2 linked regions of the Oreochromis niloticus genome follow. The protein of the gene in region 1 interacts with the protein of each later gene in a biochemical or structural test. Links are inferred from orthologs where the notes say so. Each region holds a gene or a part of one and is shown on either strand. Other genes may lie near its edges. The genes, in order: akap1b and mycbp.

Region 1 (3,924 bases):
TCAGAGCACTTACAGCAGTGACTCCCAAACTGGGCGAGTGGTTCCAGCAGATCCCAGGAGTAACATTTAAGATCTGTCCGGAAAGGACCAGCAAAGATGCAACACATGAAGCTCCCAGACTTCATGTGTAGCTTGTGTGTGTTGCTGTTAAATCCAAGGACAACACACTCACCATATAAAGGTCACAATGGAAGCAACAAGCTGTAAAATGAAGAGCTATCCTTACAGGTCAGACAAGTCTTTATTGGTTCCTTTCCTGGCCTTATAGTCAAGACTGTCTATAAACTGTAAGATCATCTCTTACTGTGACCTTGGCTGTTCAAACAGGAATGATTAAACTATTTTACACCTTCTAAATCTTACATCATGCCAGCACAGACAGACTAGTGTAAAATTATTATGCGGCCTCAAAATACCTGCATACCAACAAGTTCAGTGTCACTCAATTCCCACCTGTTTGCGTTTAAACTTTATTCTTCATGTCATACATTTTCTCATATCCCTTTAATCACCATCATTCATGTTAAATGAACCTTGGGACTCACCATCAACACTACGACAAATTAACAATGAATGTGACACTGTTTTTAAATAAATGAAAACCAAATTATTTTATGTAAACAAACCGAATTGCAGACTGACCGGGATATTAATACAATATGCTGTCAAGTCTTGCATACCCTATGGGCAAAAGTCAAGACCTTACAGGAGCCATGCTGCTACTAACAACTTAGTAAACTTAGGTGGCGTTGATAGTTGCTACAGCCACATACCAGTCCACTTTACATGTGACCCAGGCTCCAGTGATGTACAGAAGGTGCGCCTCAACACCCCAGCCGTCTTTCAGCAACGACTCAATAAATGCTAAAAGCGTTCAGCTAGCTATGCCTTAATACTACAACTGTAGGACATTGTGTAGTTCCCTATAATGCTAGTGGCGATGCTTTCTGTCCCAGCATAAAAACAAACACACACACAAAAAAAACAAAAGAACAAAACAAAACCGTGGCGTGTGGTCATGCACTCCATCGCCACAGACCGGCTAACACAATTAGCTAGCTAGGAAGTACAAAGGCCACAATGTGAATTTCATATATAATTCTCGAAGTTTAACGTTACATGACTATATGGTAAGGAAAAATGAATTCACTGTGCATACCAAAATAACATTTTCACTTGTGACTCAAGCGATTCATTTTGTCTTTATAAGGGGATCCCTCACAGTTCTTTGCATTAGCCAACTAAAACCTAAATAACCTTCGAAAGAAGCGCAAAAATATATACTTAGACCCTGCTTATGAGCAGGCAGCAATTTATAAGAACTTTAACTTACTTTACGCTGCCAGGTCTTTTTTAATGCCGAATTTTTCAGATTCTAAAAAAATATCCAACAGCGAAGTTATGCCCCGTACTAAACTGAAAAACCTGCAGCCAATAAGATGTTAAATCCCATACGACAAATGCATATAGGGAGTTTGGCACCGTCTGGGATGAAACCCTGTAGCAGAGATGGCTGTGACCTAATGCAAACACGAAATACAGCATGGCTGTTTAAGGAGGCCGCAGTGCAGGATACAAAGCATGAAGTTAGCTACATAGCAACCACAGTGGCTTTGACGTTTATGAAAATTAACGCTAGCTAAACATGAAAAAAGATAAGCTAATGGCATGTTCCCTGCACTGTATTATTTTTAGACTACGTTCGTATGTGGCTACATTATTAAAGCCACTTCAGAGTTTCATATCCCCGACTTACAGACGTACTGGGCCACAACATAAAGCTGTGTGATACGTAGTCGTTAACTATACCCAACTGCACCAACGAGGGGGTATCTCTAATCGATGCAGGGTTAAAGGACATTTGAAGCCAAAGACTGCCAATGCCCCGCATGGGCCTTAGACCTTCATGCTAGCCTGCTAGCCGGCCTGGCGACAATGACTCCCAACTCTGGGCCAAAATGCATTTATTATTATCCAAGAACCAATGCTCCTACGTTGGCACGTGCACAGCTCAACAATACAAAGCAAGTGCGAAAATGTAACTTCTACAACAGAAGCTACGTGTGCTGTTCTGAATGGCAAGTTAGGAGGAGTTGCTTTGTAGGCTAGTTTTTCAATGACATGGGATCACATGGTGACACAATAAACATTTGACGACCCACAGAGAACACTAGAAATGCAAGTGAATGTCTTTTCCCCTAAAATATACTCACATAAATGTGAATGAAACCGAACCATGCATGCAATACATAGAAAACTAAAAGCTAACAGTCTCTTTTTTCAGTGTGCCATTTCCTTCCCGGACTAATTATTTTACTTACAATGTTTTTGGGTCCTCGGTACCGCAACGATGATAGCAACACTAACAACGTGAGCTTTTTTGAAACGTACGCTAGTGGAAAGTCACACTCTCCTCCCCACGTGTTTGACAGACCAGTACCAGTCTTAAAAAAAAAAAGAGGAAAAAAACACGCAGACATAACAGCTGATCAAATCTCGCGATACTCTAAAGTTTAAGCCGCTTGGAGTCTTGCGTCAACTGAGAATGCAGTAAAGGTAAACGTTTCTTCTGTTAAGCTCATGCAGTTTCATAGGTAGATTTAATATCATCCTGGTCACCTCTACTATAAAAATGGGGAAAAAATAACATTCGTTTTTGAGTACAGATGGGACAGAGCACCGTTTTCATATAATTTTACTATATAAATGAATGTCATCAGATTAAGGCAAAGGTCACGTTAGAAGTAGCACAACTTTACAAACAGAAGGATTTGCACCTTGTGTGATAAGTAAAATTAAATTGGTGCATGTCTTTGTTATACAATTTTCTGCTGGACAACCTTAAATAATGGCATTTATTTATTTATTTATATCACTTTGCATTGCAGACCAAGAACCCTACAGCTCCAACAGGACAATGTACCCCTCCACACAGCAAAGCTGCTCAGAAACAGTTCTAACATCAAGACAAGGAGCTCAAGGCATTGACCCAGCCTTAAAATGTCATAAATCCCTTTCCAATCAAAAATGCAAATCCCTCTGTTATTTAAGCTGAGAGCGAGAGAGAGTCATTGTGCCCAAATCAACTGCCCTTACTTAGACACACCTGACCAGTCTCACAAAACTGCTTTTCAAAGTAAACCAAACATTGAGCACTCACAGAGTACAAACTCTCTCTGAAGGTACCTCACTATCTGGGCAGTATTTCCTTTTAAGGCATTAGTACTGTATTTTGGTTTTCTTTGTTGTTGTTGTTGTTGTTGTTTTTTCAAACATACTTTAAGTTTGTAGTGCAGTAAAAACAAGTGCAAAGGCTTTTGTTATATGCCCTGTTGAAACCCATTTATACTTGACATAAGTTTAAGTATAATTATTTTGTGTTCATTTCATTGCTTAGTAAAGTTTGTTTACATGTTTAGTAATAAATTGAACAAAGGTTTTGATCACAAGATTGTTTTATATTTTTTTAGAAAAAGAAATATACTTTTAATAAACTTAGCACAACAATTAAGGTAATTAGTCATTGGCAGAGAACACTTTGCAAGTTTTCATGGATACAACCCACATCCTCAACCCACAAATGCATTTTAGTTACAACTGTGGCACCAATCAAGGAGAAATAAACAGGCTTTCCAGTGGTATAAGAAAAAATTAATTGGGAGAACATCTCTTAACTGTCATAGATACCAAATATAGGCTGAGTGAACAAAAACAGCCAATCAAACAAAGAATATAAAAAATCAGGAGATGCCTTTTGTCGTAAAATGCAAATCATTCAGCAAAGTAAGAGACACTTTAACCAGCTCAGTTCGATAATTCCAAATTTCAGTCAGCTAAATGACATGTCAAAATTAAAAAAAGTTTTACTAACAGACTGCTTAAATAAATTACAATAAATCTTTCCTGATAGACTTTGGGTTATGT
Region 2 (3,924 bases), on another chromosome or scaffold:
CTACCTGTTAAATGTCCTAGCCAGGATATGTTTGTTAACAGCTTAGCTACAATGTGTCACTGATTAACGGGATATCGATCAAAAGCAGCTTACCTTGTGAAGGATTAAAAACTATAATTCATTAGGTTTTATTGGAGGTAGAAGCACAGGAGGCTTAACACTTGACAATCGGTGTCATGTTGAAGCCGGTGAAACAATAGAAACTCCTTTCCGTGCTGATGTTTTTACACCCGTCATATGAGCTTCTGGGAGGGGCCGATTTGAAAACGCAGTAGATAAGCCACGCCTAGTTTTAGACTATCCAATGACTGCAGCTCATATGTTTTATAAATCGGACGTTGCGCTGGTAGCGCGCTTGCGTGAGGGCTTGTGTTCACCCTTCCGTGTTGCCAGATAGGGGCGGCAGCAGTGAGGCCAAGCCATTTAAACATAAAAACTAAATTACATACAAAAAGCAGAGAAGTTGCACGTATTTATTTGTAAATTAAATTTGACTTTTTCTTCCCGAGGGTGACAATATCTCTCAAGAGTACCTCGAATATGCCAGTGTAGAAACCCGGGAAAAAAAGCTTCGACAGTGAATTATGACATTTTTACGATACCTTCGGTATCAGAGCAATCCATTACTCGATTTTAGAGCACTCAGTAGTATATGGCAAACAGGAGCTCCTAACACAAAATTCGGCTTGCTTTATTTCCCAATTATAGCGGGTTGTTGCCTAAAAGACGAAAAATCATATTATGGTAGGTTCTGTATGTCTGTGGTGCAAATCTGGCAACATAGCTTCATCGTCTAGTTTCGATGTCTGAGGCATTTCAGTAGTTTGCTCGTAAACTGAAAAACTTACGTTTCGTTATTGTTTAAATTTATCTTATTCTGACAGCTACTCTGTGGTCTTTCTTCTCCTTTTACAAGCTGATTATTTATTGGAAAAACTTCATTTCCGCGTGGTTGGATGTGTTGTTATGGCAACAGAGTCACCTCCTGCCTAGCATTCAAACAGCTGCAGCTAGTCTCAAGTTATTGGCCGTTTGGCACATTGTAGACGACCCGGAGTTACACGGCTATTATTGAAGTCATGGCTCAATATAGAGTAAGTATTTTTGGCCTTACTTTCTGTAGTTGTTATGTTTTCCGTGGTAATATTTAAAGTTTGTCAAACTAGCTAGCTAGCGTCATAACAACATGACCTCTGCTCGTCAACACGGTGGAAGGCAGTGAAGGCACCATGGGAGTGCAGAGTTTTTAAAGCGTTCTTGCTTTATGTCGGCGTATGAATGGGCTCCTAACTTATGTGTCATCCAACTATTTGTCTTTTTTCAGGCCTCTGAGTCGAAGCGGGAACAATTTAGAAGATACCTCGAAAAATCTGGAGTCCTCGACACCTTAACAAGCGGTAAATGGACCACCTGTTCGGCCTGTTGACGTTAACGATAATACATTCTGTGAAATAGTCTTTTAATTTGTTTTTACTGATATCCGTGCTGTCCCCCTCTTTCTTGCAGTTTTAGTTGCTCTTTATGAGGAGCCTGAGAAACCTAACAATGCCCTGGAGTATCCTTTTCTCATTTTTGCAGCCTTACTACAACCACAGGTGGTAACAATCAGTTCCTGATGTGGCTCACCTATATCTTCAAAGCAAAAAAGATATGTCACACTTGTATGTTTCAGATCTCATGTGTTTTAATATTGGACATATAACTGTAAGTGGAAAATGCACGTTTTAAATTATTATTTCATTTATTAAGGGGGAAAAGTTATCCAGATCTACCAGGCCCTATGTGGAAAAAGTGATTCCCCCTAAACCTAATAACTGGTTTTGCCACCAACAAGAAAGGCAACTGTTTGGTATAACCAGTAACAAGTCTTTCACATCACTGTGGAGGAATTTTGGATCACTCTTCTTTGCAAAACTGTTTTACTTCAGCCACACTTGAGGGATTTTGAGCTTCAGTTGCCACTTTAAGTCCAAACTTTGACTAGATAAAGCCTTCCAAAACTTTAATTATTATTTGAGTCATTAAGAAGTGGACATTCAGGTTCTTTGTTTGATCATGTGAAATATTTAAATGTAGCAAATGTGTAAAAATAAGATCTGGAAGTTGGCAAATACTTTTTCACAAAATTTCACTCAATCTAAACAGGTTTAGAGGTTAAACCACTGCACTGTTTGTGGTATTATCAGTCTTAAAATGTTATGATTGCAGACAATTTGATCATTTAAATGCACCATCATCTCCTGAAACCTTCAGATGGGCAATGAGGTGACTCCTGCTCCATTTAGAGATGAATGGTAGCCTTTAAGACTTTGAGTTTTAATTCACAATAAATATCTTAACATCTCCAATTCTACAGCCATGTAGAGAGGGGAAATGAACTCCATCAAAATTCATTGATATGCTGATGTTCTGTGCATCTCAGTATAACTGCAAGGATGTAGACTTGATCAAATAATCACTCAGCTGTGTTATTGTGGAAAAAGCTAGTTTCTTGTTATGGCAGCAAATTTAAAATGTAAGTTTTTTTTAATGTGTTCAGGGGATTTGATTTAATCTACTTGCACACATACTTGCAGTGGGTGAGTCTGTCACAGGCCATCAGTTCTTAAGCTAAGGAGTCATTCTCCTGCAACAGTTTCCCATACCTACAAACTGGATCATCTGTCTCCTGAATTAACAGGCTGAACAGAGTTGGACCTTGTTCTGCTCTAATGAAATTAGATATTTTTAATGACTAAAATTTCCATGCACTGGTTAACCTTAACCATGGCAACAGTTTCATAAAGCTTCATCTTGGGGCAGCTGGTCCAGAGCCAGCAGACACAGAGGCTCTTCGTACAGAGCTGGCTGATCTACAACAGAAATACAACGAGCTCATGGAGGAGAACAAAGAGCTGAGGAGCAAGGTGAGCGTTTACAGATAATCACATGTCTGTATTTGGTCCTGATTCTGTGACCTTTAACCTTCTCGTTTTCCTCTTCATCTTCCAGCTGATGCAGTATGAACCGTCGCCTGATGGGGAAGCAGCAGAGTAGAGAGGTTGTCTTTGCTTTTGTGGAGGAATAAAAAGAAAAATGTTACTAAAGCCTTGTTTGTAGAGTATGTAACTGTTTATTGAATAATGGATGTACAGTGAATGCAAAATCACTGTTACTTTTTTGTTGTATAACAAGAAGCTTTCTAAAATAAAAAAAATTTCAGCATCAGCCTTTCTCTCTGTCATGAAGGTCCTCGATTTTGCTTACACATGAAGAAAAAAAGAGTCTTTAAATTCTTTGTTTTTAAGGACCTTTTAGATTGATATTAACTTCAATGCCTACTCATGAAGTAAAATTAATTTTAAAAAAATAATTAGGGCATGCTGTTCACAAGCCTGATGGAAATTCTTCATTTGTTATTAAAGCTTCATCATGGATGAATTCAGACGCTGCTACTGACTGAAGTGTGTCTGGCTACAAAGGATTGCACTGCTTTTTGCATTCTGCCAAATCATTAACCTTCAAAGTGACCGAGTGGAGTTTTCCCAAGACCACAACTGTACTCTCACCAGCCACTTTAATAGGTACATTCTGCCATTACCTGATTGGAGTGCCTTTCTGCCCAATTCTTCATGGCACAGAAACATTCCTCAGGTCTTGGTCCATATTGGCCTCATCAGCATCACAGCTGCTGCACATCTATGATGTGAATATCAAAGGTTCTCTTTGGATGGAATCTGGTGACTGCGGAGGCCATTCGAGTACAGTGGACTCATTGTCATGTTCAAGAAACCAGTTTGAGATGAGCTTTGTGGTATGGTGTGTTATCCTGCAGGAAGTAGTTACCAGAACATGTGTGCACTCTGGTTATTTCTCAGGTACATGATACTTGCTGATAACAGGCCCAAAGTGTGGCAAGAAAATCTCATACACCATTGCACCACC

The links.
Region 2: the proteins of akap1b (region 1) and mycbp form a complex in vitro, tested with the Homo sapiens proteins (2 studies listed by BioGRID). The link is inferred for Oreochromis niloticus from reciprocal best matches to the Homo sapiens genes AKAP1 and MYCBP.

What each region holds. Positions count from the first base shown.
Region 1 is NC_031979.2:5,263,287-5,267,210, forward strand, and holds the start of akap1b (A kinase (PRKA) anchor protein 1b), read right to left. Parts: upstream 2,475-3,924; 5' UTR 2,322-2,474; intron 1-2,321.
Region 2 is NC_031985.2:11,668,257-11,672,180, forward strand, and holds mycbp (C-Myc-binding protein), read left to right. Parts: upstream 1-771; 5' UTR 772-1,079; coding exon 1,080-1,094; intron 1,095-1,324; coding exon 1,325-1,397; intron 1,398-1,506; coding exon 1,507-1,555; intron 1,556-2,776; coding exon 2,777-2,906; intron 2,907-2,991; coding exon 2,992-3,036; 3' UTR 3,037-3,207; downstream 3,208-3,924. UniProt on the Homo sapiens protein: May control the transcriptional activity of MYC. Stimulates the activation of E box-dependent transcription by MYC.